Lonchura striata: one gene and its partner. The protein of the gene in region 2 purifies or fractionates together with the protein of the main gene of each other region. This does not show direct contact. Links are inferred from orthologs where the notes say so. Each region holds a gene or a part of one and is shown on either strand. Other genes may lie near its edges. The genes, in order: PARVA and RSU1.

What was found.
Region 1: the proteins of RSU1 (region 2) and PARVA purify together in Homo sapiens (affinity purification with mass spectrometry; 3 studies listed by BioGRID and IntAct, counting the BioPlex papers as one, with this or other methods). This does not show direct contact. The link is inferred for Lonchura striata from reciprocal best matches to the Homo sapiens genes RSU1 and PARVA.

The regions. Positions count from the first base shown.
Region 1 is NC_134608.1:58,363,132-58,371,698, reverse strand, and holds the start of PARVA (alpha-parvin), read right to left. Parts: upstream 3,779-8,567; 5' UTR 3,677-3,778; coding exon 3,541-3,676; intron 1-3,540. UniProt on the Homo sapiens protein: Plays a role in sarcomere organization and in smooth muscle cell contraction. Required for normal development of the embryonic cardiovascular system, and for normal septation of the heart outflow tract.
Region 2 is NC_134603.1:136,354,694-136,363,473, reverse strand, and holds the start of RSU1 (ras suppressor protein 1), read left to right. Parts: upstream 1-4,865; 5' UTR 4,866-4,955; intron 4,956-5,186; 5' UTR 5,187-5,189; coding exon 5,190-5,298; intron 5,299-8,780. UniProt on the Homo sapiens protein: Potentially plays a role in the Ras signal transduction pathway. Capable of suppressing v-Ras transformation in vitro.

The DNA of each region.
Region 1 (8,567 bases), on a different chromosome or scaffold from region 2:
CACAGTACAGAATACTATAGCAAGCTTACAAAAAATCTAATTTGTGGGGTTTTTTTCTGCTCATATGATGAGCTCCATCGTGTATCTGAACTCCTGATAGATAAGGACTGGGATGCCTGACTAGCATTTATGGGATAGCCAGTCTTTAAATGCCTTTCAGCAATGAAGGGGACAGAACCTTATTAAAAACCACTAATAACTTTTGCATACTGCAGTTCAGTTTGCAGACAGGCTGTCAAGTATTCCAGTCCTTGTTCACAATTCTCTCAGTGCCTAAAAAAGCTAATTTAATTAATTCCAAACATCCTTAAAAATTTGTAATTTTGCTACCTCAACAGAATGTATGCTCCATTTAAAGATGTAGCTGCAGATGCTCTCACAGGGAAGACCACAGTACAATGTTCTCATCCTTGAATTACACCACTGGTGATGAGATGCTGTAAATGAAAACCAGACTACGGCTCTACGTGACAGACAACAACATAAACAAATCTGAGCTCCAACCTCCAGATTTTATCAAGTATTCTCTAATATTTAATGGCAATGTATTTGCCATATTAACATATGTCTTATGGTATGACTAATCCGTGCTTACATCATGTGTGATATCTCAAGTATTTCAGGTTACTCTCTTTCTTTTGGTCAATAACTTGTGCTCTGATATTAGAGAATTCATTTCACTCGTCTAGACTACCCTCACCTCTTCCACTGGTGGACCTCCACCATTGCCAAGAACTTTGAAATGCATAAGCAAATGTTTGCTGTATATTTTATATATATATTTATGCATATAAATTAATGTCAATACAGAAACTGCATTTTATGTTGTATCATAAACTATTTTACACCTAAAACTACATAAACTTTACTCTTTTCATAAATAATCTGCGTTACTCTTCATCATAAAGTCACTTCAGAGCCTAAAAGATTTTCATTTGGTGAAGCATTTTGGCTCTGTTGTTGCAATATACAAAAATGTAGTTCTGACAATGATCAAAACACCTGTTGATGACAAAAATACAAAACTCACAGATGTGTAATTGTGTATCGCCTACAACAGTTAACTACACATACAGCAGAGATGGTACTAAAGTGCAACCAGCATAGTCCCTACAAAAGACAAAACATTTTTGCATTATTAAAAACCACCAGTTCTTAGACCTTGTGGTAAAACAGTGAAGGAAATCAATATGCTTCTGTGCTCTGTGTAACAGCAGAATTTACACCAACTGAAAGACATGCAAATTTTCAGTTGTCCCTCATTTATCCTGAGTTATTCTGAACATTTTCCTATACATCCTGCGCATAAGCAGTTGAATAACCACTTGCACTTCTATGACCAAGACCCACCTCCATAGGAAACCTACCACAGTTTGGTTAAAACAGGAAAAAAACACCAAAACTCAGATCCTAGACGAACACGCAATCTGACCTCTGAAATTCCTAGCTAGGCTTCAAAAACACCTGGAGCCCTACAAAAACAATAAGCACAACTTACGATGGAAGCTACGTGGGCCACAGCCAGCAAGAACAATGCTTATTAATAGTTTGCAAACTTGTATTTCTTTTTAGTAGAGAAAAATTAGGAACTAAGAAAGAGGACAGGCTTCACAGTAAGGCTGAAGCCACCTGAATGTGTTAAAACCCATAAATCAATAAACAGAAAGATAAGATAGCATACTATCAATTTCACCTCTATATACGCTTCTACCAAAGAAATGTCAAAAATATACAGGCAAGTAAAAAGGATACTAAGGTGAAATTAATACAATACATTTTCGTCCATCAGCAAATAACAGTCCTTACAAAGTTAATAAAAAAAACCCCAGCTCTCTAATCCAGTTATTTTTAGATAGACCTTAGAAAATTGGGAAACGCAAAAGACAAGGACAATTCAGTTTCCAAATTTCAAAAGCATAGACCATGATAATGAAATGGCAGGTGCAGGTTTTAATCAATACATGTAATGCATTAATAAGAAGTATGATTTCACAGAAGACATCTTTTTGTAAGATTACAAGATAGTGGATAAAAGCAATTGCTGCCTCTGAAGGTTTGCTGGAGATTTCTGACTTCAGGTATCTGTCACTAAGGAAAAAAGTATTTAATAGTAAAAACAGTACTAACGACAATATAATGGACATACTCAAACTGCCACAAATAGGCTTAAAGGTCTCTATAAACATACCTACAACATGGACTCATCAAGGAAGATTTTTGCTAGCTCAGTGCTGCTGATAGTCATAAATACTCTAACAGGATAATTTTTAAAAATAGGTAATTGAGTTGTAATTCTTTACTATTTCATCAACATCTGGTCCATCTGAAATGACCAGAAAAAGACAAATAATGTGAGCACAATCGTGCAACATGGATTTAATCGAAAAGCAAGACTGCACATCACAGAAACATGACGTGATAGTTAAGAGAATGAGGAGCTGTACGCTCCCAAGTTATGTCATTCTCGTCCACAGCCCTGGCGCTTCTCCAAAACACTCTGTGTCTGGCTTCAGTGCCCATGTGCACACGAGGAGCAAGGGGTGCTGAGCCTCACACCCTTCTTCACGCTGGCAAGCAATGAATTTTGCTAGAAAGCCTGTTTTGAAGCGACTGTTATGTTGTCTCTATTTGCATCATATTTAAATCAAGTTCAGCTGTCAAAACGATGGGTGAGCAAGGTTAAATTCCAATTCTGTCTCTCTCACGGGGTTTCATATAGGAAAATTCAGCGGGGGGGCGGGTATTAATTCACAAGTACGGACAAAGAACCGGACTGTTGTATATGCTGAGTCCTGTAAAGGTTCGCTGTGGCCAGGCAAGCCTTTTGCTCAGCACAGGGATCCCTGCATTGCCCGCGAGCGCTGCTATGGATCCCCACCAGCGGCGTGCATCACACAGAGCGCCGTGCGCTGACCACACCGCGTTACACAGGGCTCAGCACACAAATCCTGCCCAGGGAAAACCCATCCCCGGGCGCCCCCAGGGAAAACCCATCCCCGGGCGCTCCCAGGGAAAACCCATCCCCGGGCGCTCCCAGGGAAAACCCATCCCCGGGCGCTCCCAGGGAAAACCCATCCCCGGGCGCTCCCAGGGAAAACCCATCCCCGGGCGCTCCCAGGCCTGCGGGGCCCGCCGGCCGCCCGGCCCGCTGCGGGCAGCGCTCCTTCCTTCCTTCATTCCTTCCTTCCCCGGCCGGGCCCGCACACAGACACTGGACACAGACTCGGAGCGGCCCCGGGAGCGGCCCCGGGAGCGGCCCCGGGAGCGGCCCCGGGAGCGGCCCCGGGAGCGGCCCCGGGAGCGGCCCCGGGAGCGGCCCCGGGAGCGGCCCCGGGAGCGGCCCCGGGAGCGGCCCCGGGAGCGGCCCCGGGAGCGGCGGGGCCGGGGCGGCTCCTCCCTCGCCTGCCCACCGCGCTCCGCACGTCCTTCCCCGCCAGCCCCTTCCTCCCGCTCCCCAGAGCTTTTCCTCTCCCCCTGTCTCCTCCCCCCCCACAGCAAGGTAACTCCCAGGAAACGTGCAAGCCCGTCGTTAATTTTTACCTTCTTTCGCTTTTTTCCTCCTGGCCAGCGTGCCGCCGAGCTTGCCCAGGAAGGAGTCATCCTTCTTTCTGGAGGGGGGCGATTTGGGGGTGGGGGACTTGGGGGACGAAGGGGATTTCTGCGGGGAGGTGGCCATGCTGGGCCAGCCGCCGGCGCTGGGGACGGAGCGGGCGGCTCCGAGGCCGCGGTGCCGTGGGAGGCTGCTCCCGGCTCTGAACGGAAGCGGAATTATTTCAAGCATTTGAGGCAGCTCCTGCTCCGCTCTCCCGGCTCTCCCGCTCCTTCCCTCCCTCCGCCCGCCCTCCCTCCCGCCGGGGAGGGCCCGCTCGCCTCGCCCGGCTGCCGGTGGCCGCGGGCGGTGCGGGAGCCGCGCTGCGCTCCCCGCCGCGGCTCGCTCGCTGTGCGGGGGCCCGGCGCCTCGCCCCCCGCTCCATCCTCCACCCCTGGGCTGGGTGGGTGAGTGGCCCGGCTGGGTGCCGGGTAGCGTGCCGAAAGGGAAAGGTGGATACGGACACCGTGCCGCTCATCCTCGGCTACCCCAAGGGGAAGGGCCGGAAGGATGGAGTCGCAGCTACGTTCTGTGCTCAGCACCCACAGAAAAATGGAATCGCGGTCCGGGTTGGAAGGGGTCTTAAAGAAAATCTAGTTTCCAACACAGTGCCATAGGCAGGGACACCTACAATTAGACTTGATTGTTCAAAGTTCCATTTAACCCGGCCTTGAATGCTTCCAGGGATGGAATAGCCAAAGCTTCTCTGGAGAGCTTGTTCCAGAGCCTCACCACCCTCCCTCCCAACAAAGAGATTTTTCTTAATATCTTGTCTAAACATCTTCACTTCTTCAGCTTAAGACTATTTCTTCGTTTTCTGTCACTACCTGCCTGGGGCAAGCACATTTATCTCCCTCTCAGGATTTTCATAGAGGTGCACAGAGAGAAATGAAAGAGAAAACAATTTCTGTTCCTTGTTTTTCCTATGTGGAATGTGTGTGGAGAATTGTTTACCTGGGGTGAGTGCTTGGTTGGATTCAGGTGAGGATTGTTTGAGCCTGATGGCCAATCCAACCCACCTGGGGCTGGGCTCTCAGAGAGGGTCATGAGTTGTGTTAAGAGTCAGAGAAAGTAGTATGTAGTTTTAGTATCCTCCTTTTATATAGTATATTGATGTATTTTAGCATAGTTATAATAAAGAAATAATTCAGCCTTCAGAACTGAGTCAGACATCGTCATTTCTTCCCATTGGGTTCTCCTGCATTTACAATACCTGCCCTTGCAAGAAATCCCTCTCCAGCTGTCCTGTAACCCCCCCTTTAGGTACAGGAAGGCTGCTAGGTCTCCTTGAAGCATTCTCCAGGCTGAACAACCCCAACTTTCTCAACCTGTGTTCATGGGAGAGGTGTTCCAGCCCTCTAAGCACCTTGGTAGCCTCCTCTAGACATGCTCCATCAAGCTCATCTCTCTTGTGTTGGAGGCGCCAGACCTGGACACACAAAAGAACTTATGAAGTAATAAAATGTCACTGAATAGTTTCCTGCAAATTCAAGCTTACTACATACATTTCAGTCTGGATAACATTTTGGAAAGCTCTTCTGCCTGCAGTCTTCAGCTGTGTCTGTGGTGAGAAGCTGTGGGCATCATCATATCCACTCCCACAAAACAAAACAACTGTTGTAGTCAGACCAGTATAAAAAGCCTGTGGAAGGAAAGGTGACTTAACATGATAGATTGCCTATACCAACCCTGCTTTGATTTGCAGATGAGCAGCTTATGGGAGGTTTAAAACAGATAATTTGCTGTGACTGGTTCAGGAGGCATCCAGGAGTGGAACAGCATTAATGTCATCTGGATGCACTACTTTCACTTACCACTTAATCACTTGATTAACAATTCAGGCAAAAAGCCACACACACTTCATGCAAATATCTAGCTATCCATTAGGCATAATAAGTGAAATGAAATTACCATGAGGATATTTCTAAATCAGCTAATAATTGTTGTGTTTTTATGAGCTGGTAACATTGGTTAGCTGATGAGGGGCAGACATCAATCTCTGTTTATTGCATGCAGTTAGTATGTGCCCTGGAAAAAAACTCTATTCATCCATCCTGCCATCAGTTATCAGCAGGAATGAGCCCAAGCCTTAGCACAATCCTTTCCTTACATTTTCTCTCTGGTTCTAGCACCAGTTATTGTCTCAGGCCTCTTGTCTATGAATTTCAGCCTGAATTTCACACATTATTCTCCTTATACAGAAGTCCTGCTTATACAGTGTATGTATCATTTTTAAGAACATAATAAAAGCTTCAAAAGGAGAAATACACACAGTAAGCACTTGTAAAAATATGTCTGTAAATCTGTGACATTTACAAACAGAGCAGTGACCCAGCTGAATCTCCATTTGGAGCCAAATGACTATACATGGATGTCAATACAGGATTTTGTGGCCACAGCAGAAGAGGGAACATTTTGGTAAGCACAAGTACCCCTGTGTTTGTGGTAAATAGAGAAGGAACAAGCCAGATACTTCATAAAGAGCCTGTGCAGTACAGGGTAGTCAGAATTCAATATGCACTTGCCAAGTCCCTCACAAAACTCTTAAGAAGGCACAGAATCTTTCCTATTTCTCAACACTGAGTATATGTAAATTAATGATAAATACAGTATTACTTCTTTAATAGCCTCATGAACTATGGGAGCTTGACATCACAAGGGGAAAAAAATGAAATGAAACAATGTGTTTAAGATTAACTTTATCACATCAGGAAACTTAAATACTGTGTGCTTTAAGTAAGATGCTAAAGCAACAGCCAGACCCTAAGTTTACAGTTTTGATTTTGGGATTTCTTGCAGGATTTATGTGCAGTTCATTGTGTGTAACATTACTGCAGTATTTTTCCAGTTGTGATATTTCACTTTGAGGATAATTACAACATTTTCCCCCTGTATCTTACATTTAGAATTACATAGGCTACCTTTTTTTTTTTTTTTTTCTTGTTATGTGGGAATATATATTAACGTATAGCCTTAAATTAATGTTGCATTCATCACAAAAAGTTTTATAGATATACACAAGATCTAAGTTATGGCCTTAAATTAATATTGCATTCATCACAAAAGGCTTTATAGGTATTCTCGAGGTCTGAGTTATGGCAGCTGTGGGGATGGAGTTTGCTCTGCTCTATATTTGACAATAGAATACTTCCAGGATCATGCTCCACGAGCCCAGCACAGAACACAGCAGTGAGCAGGCTGCTGCTCAGGCTGGCCCTGCTGCACCTGGCATAGAGAAATGTGAAGCAGACCATGACAGCTCTCACCACACTCCCTGTCAGCGCCTTGTTTAGCCAGATAAGCCAAACATTACATCAAATTAATTGTATCCTGCTCACATATGTACTTTTGCCAGGCAATAAAAGGTGGCTATGTCCCCTCCCCTCCACCCTTCAAATAATTCTTACTCACCTGCGTATCTGTCCATGCACAGCTGTTTTTTATTTCTTTTAATATGAGACTCAGAATGCTCAGGAGCAGAGTTTTACTTTCCAATGAAACAGAAAAGCAAGGTGTATAATATCCAAACCACGGGCTTGGCTAGCAAGAAAGAGCAGCCAGTATGGTTAAAACTGTGCAATAAATCATCCACTTGCCTTAGAGTATTCCCCTAACATTTTTCTCTGCTCCAGCCTTTTGACCATTCAGTCATTTAAAGAACAGAAGTGGAATTCTTAAAAGTGATTTATCAACTTGCTGCTACTGCTGTGATTGCCTACAGGAACACCCTTTGCTGACTTTCAGGAAGAGGAGAACTAGAGCAAAGTCTACACATTTTATTTTCCTAAGCACTTGTGCTGGCCTGCCAGCCCTGTGTGGTGAATTGCTGAATGTGCCCACCCCTCCCTGACTAATAGTTAATAGCACAGTAAAGGAGCCTGCTGAGCAGAGAAGCTGTTTTAGAACATTAGAACAGCAGAAAGCATCGTATTAAGGATAAAAGGGCTCCAAATTTTCATTGCCAGCATCACCTAAAACTCACACTTGAGGATAAATTTCTTTCCAGCTCACAAAGTTAAGGTTTGGACATATTCATATGCTGGAATTTAAAGCACAGCTATGATTTCTACTCTAACTTCTTTGGTAAAAGAATATTCTGTTTAAATAATATAACAAAATAAGATGGTTTTCTAAAAGTAATAGAGTATTTCCAAATAGATTCTTAAAACATACAATGAAGTTTTGTTGTACATCAGGGAGCAAAACAGATAGACTAAGATGTGATAAAGAAAAATGTACATGAAAGATTAAAGATAACATGTTGTATACAGCTACAGAAATAAATGATTTGAAAGCTTCAGAGGAAAGAAAGTGGGTTTAAAACTTTTTGGTAAAATGGCAATGTCATCCTGGTATTCACATGTTTTGGTACCATGAGGTTACATCAATTAATTACTTACAAAAACTGGGCCAAGCATACTTGCATTTACAACTGTCCTTCTTGAGACAGTTTTAGGAAAAAAATCAGTATTATGATTTTTTTTTTCTTAATAAGCTTCAGTTGTACCCTTCGTTTGGGCCTGTAGTTATGTACAGGTGTGTTATGTGAATATTCCAGCAAGCACAATACCAGCATGCAGAGCCATCAGGTCTCTTCACAGTTCATTAGAAACAACAGAAGAAACCACAATTTTTCTCATAAATATCGGGCAAAGAGATCTGGGTGAAGTCCAGCAAATACCTTGCCCATCATTAAGTATTTGGCAGGAATCAAGCTCCTGAGATGACTGAAAGAACAGGATTTGCAACCACAGCAAACCCATTGTGCTAAACAATGCCAAAAATTGCAGTCCATGCAAAGCCCAGCAGGGACAGCTCTAGATCTTAACAGCAGCAAAGTCTCCAATCTGCTGTGCCACATCCTGTTCCTTGCTCAAGCAAGGAAGAAAACAGTCTATCTTTCTGGAAATGACTTCTAAACTAATGTGAAAATCTTAGTTGAGATCAGACGTGCATTGGGCTACAAAGCAGAAGTTTC
Region 2 (8,780 bases):
GCCCAGAAAACTTTTACTGAGAGTCCACTCAAACTGCCACTGTACTTGCAGTCAAAGGATGATGCAATATTGTTTATTAAAACTCCCTACAGGGGATAGCAAACAGTAAAGGAACATCTGAAATGTCTGAAGATAAAGCCACAAAATAAATTTTAAAACAGCAATGTTTAAGAAACTTCAAGTACAACCAAGCATGGATTGAGTGGTTTGCCTGCAGTGATAAGGAGGACTGCATTTCTCCTCTGTGGAACATGGCATCACAGGCTTCATGAATGTCCATTGTGGCTTTGACCTTCCTATGAATCACCATGGATTTGGTGCAGTTGGTTCACCACATCTGCAGCTGGAAGAGAATCTCCTCAAGATCTGGATGCTGTCACTTGCTGCTAGGTGGCTGGACATGGAAACATCAGATTTTAGGCAAGAATCAGCTTGCAAGAATGTTGTCATTTTCTGCACTTCACCCAGAGCACAGTTCAGCTGGAAGCCACACATGAAAGGGAAGGATATGTCCCTCCAAACAGCTCTGTGCCACTGCACCAGTGTTCTGTGATACGGTCTTGGCTCCTGCTAAAAGTGCATCAGCCCTGTCAGAAATGAGTTCTCAAGTTAAACACTGGCCTTTTTGCAGGTGTGACAGATTATAAACTGACAAACAGAAACCTGTACATGGTTTTAATGAATGAAGGTCATTAGTGGCTTTTGGACACCAAGTTGCCCAAGGACACAGCAGTCCCTGAGCTCATGGCACTGAGGGCTCCTGCTGACCCAGGGACTGGTACAGAGATGTGCTCTGGTGACCTGACATGTGCCTGAGGCCACTCTGGTAACACAACCCTTGCCCTTGAGGTCTTGAGGGGAAATCCAGCTAAACTGGTGAGTTTGCTGAAATCTGTACTTCAGAAAGGCTGCTTTCACAAAGCATGTTTCACTTTAAAGCAATTAAATGCTTTTGGACATTTTTTATATGATAAATACTTGCTGTTGTTAAGATCTGTCACATCATCAAATTTTATAAAATCATTGAAATTCTGCAGAAGAAAAAAGAACAAAGAGCACTATGAATGAGAGGAAGAGAATTTTTAAAGGTTTTTTTAAAATCTAGCAATAACTAACTAATGCTTGGTGCATCTTTAAATGTTGGAAATACTCAATACCTATGCATAATTTTATTTACAAATGAGCAAATGCATGAGGCTATTTAGAGGGAAAAACAAAAAAGCCCAGCAGAGAATGTGCTCATGAAGTCTGTTGAATGAAGCTGCTGGTACAAGGTTTAATTGATCCAGCCCAACTGACTCTTGCCAAAAATAGTCAAAGTCTAAAATTAAATTATCAAACCCATTCTTTAAAAAAACAAAGGAAGAAAGTAACCACTGCAGTCCTCTAACATTTTATACGAGGAACCACAACAAAAATACCAACTGCAGAAGTATTAAAGTGGAGGTCCTTAGAGGAGAGAGCTGATGCTAAGCCATGTTTCTATCTTGGAAGGTAAGGAAAACTTGCTTGAAAATGAATGCACGGCAAACACAAACAAGCAGAACCAAACAGATAATCTGGAAATAATTATTCCATGAAACTTCTATGTGCTTTTTGCAGTGTACAATTCAAAAGACAAAATCTGTACTTAGTAAGAAATATCATTTCATCTCACAATACTGCCATGAAAACCTTTGCTTTTATGTCTGTGCACATTGCTATTTTATAAGGTCATTGTTGTGAATGCTGCACGTCTGTACTGTAATAACTGCATGACTACAACCTCCCTCTGTCAATGACAAAGCAAATAATGAAAGTGCAGGTTTTCAGTTTCTGGAGCCTGCATGTTTTTATTTTACATGGAAAGCTTCTTCTGCATGTTACTACAGATGTTTATTATTATACAAAAGTAATTTTAGATGCAGTTATATATGAATGGTAAGCCTCCAAAGACTAGGATTTGAAGAATAAGCACTACACTGTCTGTAACAATGTTTTTAATTGCCCTTCCCATGTGGCAGGACTGTTCTTTATAAATGAGAAATAATACCACAATGAGATATTCTTACAATAATAGTTACATAAGTAAAGGTGACAGAAGATAGAGAGCTAAAATGATAGAAACCATGGTGCTGTCAATTTAAAAGAGTAGATTATTTTAGTTAAATTTACAAAGCAATTTTGACTGAAAACCAGTTTTCAATTGTTTCATTAAGCAAAGGAGGAGGTGTCTCAATTTCCCATAGTAACATAGGATATGTGTCCTAGGCACCAGAATTAACATATTTGGTGTAATTACTTTTTGTCAACTGCCAAACTGAAACTGCAGAAATATTCTGCAGTCCTAATTAAAATGAAAGGCAATAAAAATTCATGGGATTGACTATATTGTTCCCAATACAAAACAACCGGATTAATAACAAATATATGTTTAAAATATTTATTAAATGACAATAAAAATAGAGGCCAGATTCTAGGAAGTTTTTTTACAGCAATCAGAAAAATAAATATTGCATGCAAGTTATCACACTTAGTGAGTCTAATGTTGATGGATAATCTGTAGTAGCAGTGCCCAGCACTACACAACTGGTTTTGCAGGGGCATGTTGCTGTTGCATCCTTTTGATGACACACATCCTTGCATTAATGTTGCTCATTATCATAGCTTTTCTTGAAGGGAGAAAACAGATAAAAATAGAATAATAATTTAAATGTCATTTCCCTGGTTAGTATAAGTACCTAAGACAGAAACAAGGGAGGCATCAGAGCTACTCATTCCCTTGCTGATCCCCAGCACAGTGAGAGGAACCAGCAGGAGGCAGGTCCAGCCATCACTGCCGGGGCAGAGCAGGCTGGGAGCATCACTGCAGGGGCAGCTTCTGCCTCCTCCAGCCCCCACAGGGGAAACTGCAGCTCTGCCACACAGTCATGGCCATACACCTACTCACTGTCACCTGCTTTAGCCTGCAGGCCTAAGGACAGAAGCCAGCCCCTGCAACGAATTCAGGCACCTGCTCTACAGATATTTAAGCCATATGACGGATTTAGAACAGATCTGACAGATATCAAAGCCATTTTATAGTTGTTTCATAAGCAAAAAATCAGTAGCTGGAAGGTACAGCAAGACCTAAATTGGAGAAGTCTCTACTGTGAGCTCAAGCACTGAATGTGTGGGGAGGGCTCTACTGGCCAGTCCGTAGGAACAGGCTGGCCAGCCTCTAGCTGGGGGTAGAGAGGAGCCAAATATTTCTGGGACCAAAGGGGTTTTGGAATGACTGCACATACTGGGAAGAGGAGGGGGGCATAAGAGAGGGGAGAATGGGTGACTGCAGTGACACAGACCCTCTATGGGAAATGACTCTTCATGACCAATCTGAAAAATCAGTTTTCAGGATCAAGGACCTTTGGATAGAGTTGCTTGTGTATCTTCCTTCACACTCCTTCTCAGACAATAGTATTCACTGCTTGATGAGACACTGAGAAACTTTAAAAGGAAGGCTTGAGAGCAACTCCCTTTGCCAAATCTAATGCCAATATCCCTGACTGGGGCATGGATTCATGCTCAGAAAAAAGGTTTGCTCAAGCAGGACAGAAAGAAGGTCACATAGAAGCTGTGAATGATAGACGAACTCTACACAACATGATAATGAAATTAGATAGATGGCAAAAAAACCCCACAATCCTGATGAAAGGGAGTAATGACAATATGTTCATTAAGTGGGGAGTAATTAAATACTTCTATGGTAGGAGCAGAACGTGGCTATCTAGGTCACATGCAATGTTTTGATCACTGCAAAAATGGAGTAGAGAAAAGCCAGGTGAGCTTTTTGTTAGCCATGAAGATTGTTTTGTAAGTGTCTTGTTAGAGTCACATGTGCTGGTAGTTGGAATAAAGGAGCAGATTTAGAGCACATTTACAGATAACTAATCTGCCTGAGCCTTTGTTACTAAATGACACCTACAATCATTTGCATGAAATAAGAACAGCAGACATGTTAGCATTTAGGTCTTTGGGACAACTGACTGGTAGCAGTTAGGGCATTTTCTTAGATGGGAAAGGGATCCAGATTCATGGTTGTGCAGACAAAAGAAGAACTGTACATCGTCATCCTGTACATCTGAGTGACAGTGGGTTCTGCTGAGAAATCCAGCTAAAAGGAAGATACTCTTCAGTAGTGCCTTGTAAGGAAGACCTGAAAACAGTCAGTAACTTTAGGAAACACTCAAGGTAGGAAACTCCAATTAGGAATAAACATGCTACAGTTCTGCAGACCAGATCCTTACATTCCTAAAAAAGGTGAACTTGAAGTTGTGCCTTCATAAAGTTTTTTTATTTGCTGTCTTATGCAAATGCTCATCTTCTTGGTTTTTGTGGATACCATTTTTAGGCTACTAAGTAACACGATGGAGTACATATGCAAAATTCAAAGCTGTGGTTCTCAATGGGTAGCCTGGCCTTAGGTAACTTAATAGATTTAGTCATTAACTGCTCTGAGCTTCCGTATCTGCTGAATGACAGTAAGTAGGAGCACCTTAAATCCTGTGAAAGAGATTACATGGATAACTACAACGCCACAGCATCTCTACTACCGGTCGAGACGGGTTACGAGCGCTCAGGACGTGGACCCAGCCTTGTGACTGGTTTTGCTGCTAGAGCCGACTGGAAAACCCAGGAAGTCACCTGAAAAAATGGGCACCGCTGGTTAAACGCAGCGGGATTTTTTTGCTGTGGGTTATTTTGGCGATAATGCGCTCCGTCCCGGCCGCCTCCCCAAGCCCCGGAGCGCTCCGGGAATCCCGCCCCGGCCCTGGCGCCGGTCAGCGCGGGCGGGGCTGCGCTGCGCCTGCGCGCGGGGCGGGGCGGGGCGCCCGGGATCCGCCGGCCCGCCCGTCCCGCCGCCGATCCGCCCGCTGCCCCGCCGCTTCCCATCGCCTCCCATCGCCTCCCGCCGCCTCCCGCCGCAGCGCCGCGCGGTGAGTGCCCTCGGACAGGGCCGGGCCTGTTGCCCGCCCGGGGCGGGCGTGCGGCCGGCATCCCGGGCAGTGCCCCGCTGCCATGGGCGGGCGCGGCGGCCGGGACGGGACGGGGCCCCCGGCGGGCTGGGCAGGGGGTTCTCTGCGCTCGCGGCCGGCGCTGTCCCGGGTTGGAGCCTCGGCGGGTTTCCCCCGCCCCCGGCTCACTCTGTCCGTTTCTGCCCCGCCTAGACCATGTCCAAGTCCCTGAAGAAGATCGTGGAGGAGAGCAGGGAGAAGAACCAGCCCGAGGTGGACATGTGCGACCGCGGCATCTCCAGCATGCTGGACGTGCCCGGCCTGTGTAGGTACCGGCGGCGGCGGGCGGGCACGGCGCGGAAACTTCCTTATTTGTCCCGGGCGAGCGGGGCCCGGCCTGGGCGCGCCCGGCGCTGCCCCGCTGGGACCGGGACTCCGCGGGGCGGGGCGGCCTTTGGGCACCGGGCTTGGGGGGAGATCCGCGGGCTGACCAAACCCCCGCGCCCGGCTGCCGGCAGCACCGCCAGGAGCCGCCCGTGTGCGTCCGGGGCAGCCCCGCACGGGCTCGGCGTTCCCTGTCACATTGCTGGCGTTCTGTCGGTCGGGAGACTTTCCCTCTTCTCGTCCTGCTACCGAAACAAAACCATCGGCTAAGTAGATCTCCACTGGGTCTTTAAAGGGATAGGGTGACAGCCTGCAACTACGGGCGACTGGTCTCTGAAGAGAGGGCAGTAATACTGTATCACACATACGGCAGCATCGTGCTTTGGATGATATACGATTGCACATGCTTGCTGAACCATGACAGGGTGCTGCTGTCGGTACGGTGCATTTACTATAGTTAAATTCACAGCAAATACAGCATACCAATAGCAACATGCTGTTACAGTTCTGGAGAACACATAAATGAAGAGCAGCTTAGGTGTCTTGCCTTGCTAAATTGCACATGATGTTATGACTTAGCCAATACTCTGGGAATTAAAGTTGTGACTGTCTGTAGTGTGCCACAGGCTGACATTTTTCTGAATGCATGATCCAATGAGAGGAAAAAAAGCAAAATCTCAACCAACCAATGTACTTAAAATTCTTGACTGTATCCTGTTTTAGCTCTTTACTGTGTTTGTTAAACTTGAGAGCGGTCAGGAGCAAATGTACATAACTCTTCTCGCAAGATAGATATGAGCTCAGGGAAAGGTATGGCTCACTACCAGCTCGCCATTATCTGCAGAGTTGAGAGCACATCAAGGTGTCTTCACACCTTATCTTCCCATCAGTAAAGGATGAAGTCTTAAGTACAGTTTTGCAGAACTAGGTTCTGTACTTAAAGTCTACATTCTGTACTACTGTTCTGCTTCTGTGTGTTGCGTGGGCCTGTGGGAAGATGGTGTTGTAAGGACCACATATGTGAATTCACATTAAATAGAAAATTTAACAGAGTACTGTTGCTTTTGTTAAGTAGACTTGGTGCCTACTATCAACACTAGATAGGTAATTAATTAACTAGTTTTGATCTTTTAAAGTGTGAAAAAAGGATAATGTTGAAGCACATTGATAATCCTAAAAAAAAAAAAAAAGCTTTTCTTGCACAAAGAGTCTTTGGGGTTTGTTGTTCAGGCAGGGCCAGGGACCAGGGTAGGGCAGTGTGGTCCCCAGATGCTCCCTGATACCAGGTTGCTAATTAAGCATCTGAAATGTCTTTGGCAGAGAGCTCTCTACGTGAAGTATAGACTTTGGTACCCTACTTACACTGCATCAGAGGAGTCTCTGCACAGATACTCTTGGTGCACATTGTGTGACTTGATCTAGCATGGGGATTTGGAGCCTTCAATTTGAGATGAAAGATAGGGAGGGGAGAAATGATGACTGGTTTCTGTTAAATTAATTGCTTTTTCAGTTATTATATTCACGGACAGAACACAGAAGTTGCTTTGTTTTTTTTTTTACCATGGAGGTATTTGCCTTCAGGAGAAGGAACACCTTTCATCAAATAAAAAGTAACGAATAGCTATTACTTCTGAATTTTTAGTAAAGGGTTGAGGAAGTGTTGAACTTGTTTTCGAACCTTGTCACCTGACTCCAAATAGATGGTCTTCTCTAATGTAGATTGGATGTTTTGGTTTTCTCTGCCTCTCAGAACTGGTGTGTAAGCTAAAGTAGACTGACCTAGTACCTTTCCTTCTCTGTGTGTTACATACCTTTTCAGGGCAGTGTTAAAGCTTGCCTTTTCAGGTATTTTTATTTTTTTCCTTCCATGAAGTAAAGGTCTCTATTAAAAGCAGTCATCACTATTCATGCCCAGTGACTCTTCTTGCACATAATTTCATCTTTAAGGAGGGCCACTAGTAGATGTTGAGAGTTAAGTTTAGATAATGATTGGAGGGAACAGTTTTGGCTATTTGAGTTTTGTAGGTTGGAAGGTATGCCGGAGTTACTGTGTTCAGTAGCCCCTGATCAGCATTTTGTCTCATGTAATTATATAGTGGTTATGAATACCCCTACCAGAGGTGCTAAGTACCTTTTAAAGGTAAACTGCTCCTTCTAGTCCTAAATCTCCAAGGAAAGGACTAAGCCTTGTCTCACTGCATGTTTGAGAACTTGCTGCAGAGCGGCTAATGAGCTTGTATTTAACCTTTCTTAACTTAATTCACATAGGGGTAATACAGGCACAAGGATTTGGAAGCAGTGTACCATGTAACATCTGTTCAGTGTGCCAGTCCTTTTCCTTAGGTGTCACCCTGTTCTTGTCATGTGTGTTTAGGAAATAAAAAAGAAAAGTAAGTGATAGAGAAAAGTGGTGTTATGTGGTGACAAAGAAGAGCAAAGGAGAATATATGCCCTATCTTGGATACAGTTCTCTTCTGGCTTCTGTTTTCAGTCTAGGCTTCCTGCAGTACAGGGCAGTCAGTCATACTTTCTTTTGCATTGTCTTCCATCCTCTGCAGTAGCTGTAGGAGAGAAAAAACAGACAAAATTTGGCTTCTGTCAAATACCAGTGTGTCTTTCCAATTAAGAATGAAATACTTCTATCTGGAAGGAGATTGGCAAGCTACCTTAGACCCACAAGCTTGGCAACCTTTACATCTCTTCCCACTTTCATGTTTGGCAGAGAAAGAGTATGGTTACCAGCTTATATACAACGTGAAGTTCAGATTCAAAAAAAAAAGTTAAGTAGTCCCTGAAGCACTTCTAACTCAGGAGTTCATTAATGTCATTAGAAGTAGAGTTCTATTTTTGGAATATTCCTCGAATCCAGACACTTCCATGTTTTCTCCTAGTGACTTAAAATACAAAGTAGAATTGTGTTATGCACCTTCAGAGTGTCTGGATTTTTATGCTTTCAGAACTGTAATAGGAGAGCCCTTTTTCAGATGTGTTGTGTAGAAAATAAATTTCATTTGAGACAAAAAAATACCCCTTGGTCTAAGTATTCTGTGCTTTAGGTTGTCATGCAAATACCATGTGAAACAGTTTTAAGTGTTAAAGACTTTTTTTATTATTCCAGCATATGATAAAACAACAGTTACACCATTTGTGTGCACATCTCTTCTATAGTTGTGCATCTCCTTCATACATAAATAGTGTAAAAAATGTCTTGTCCCATGTTCTCTTGTGTTGGTTTGGGTTTTTTGCCTCCATATTGTGAAGTAAATAGTTTACATTTGTTTATAAAACACCCACTATGGACAGGTAATGGTAGAGAGCATTAATAGACATCCTATAGGCTGAGCAAGCAGGTTCAGCCAATTCCAGCAATAAGGGAGTAATGTGCCCTTTCCCCTAGCATAGCAAAGGATAGGGCATTTATTG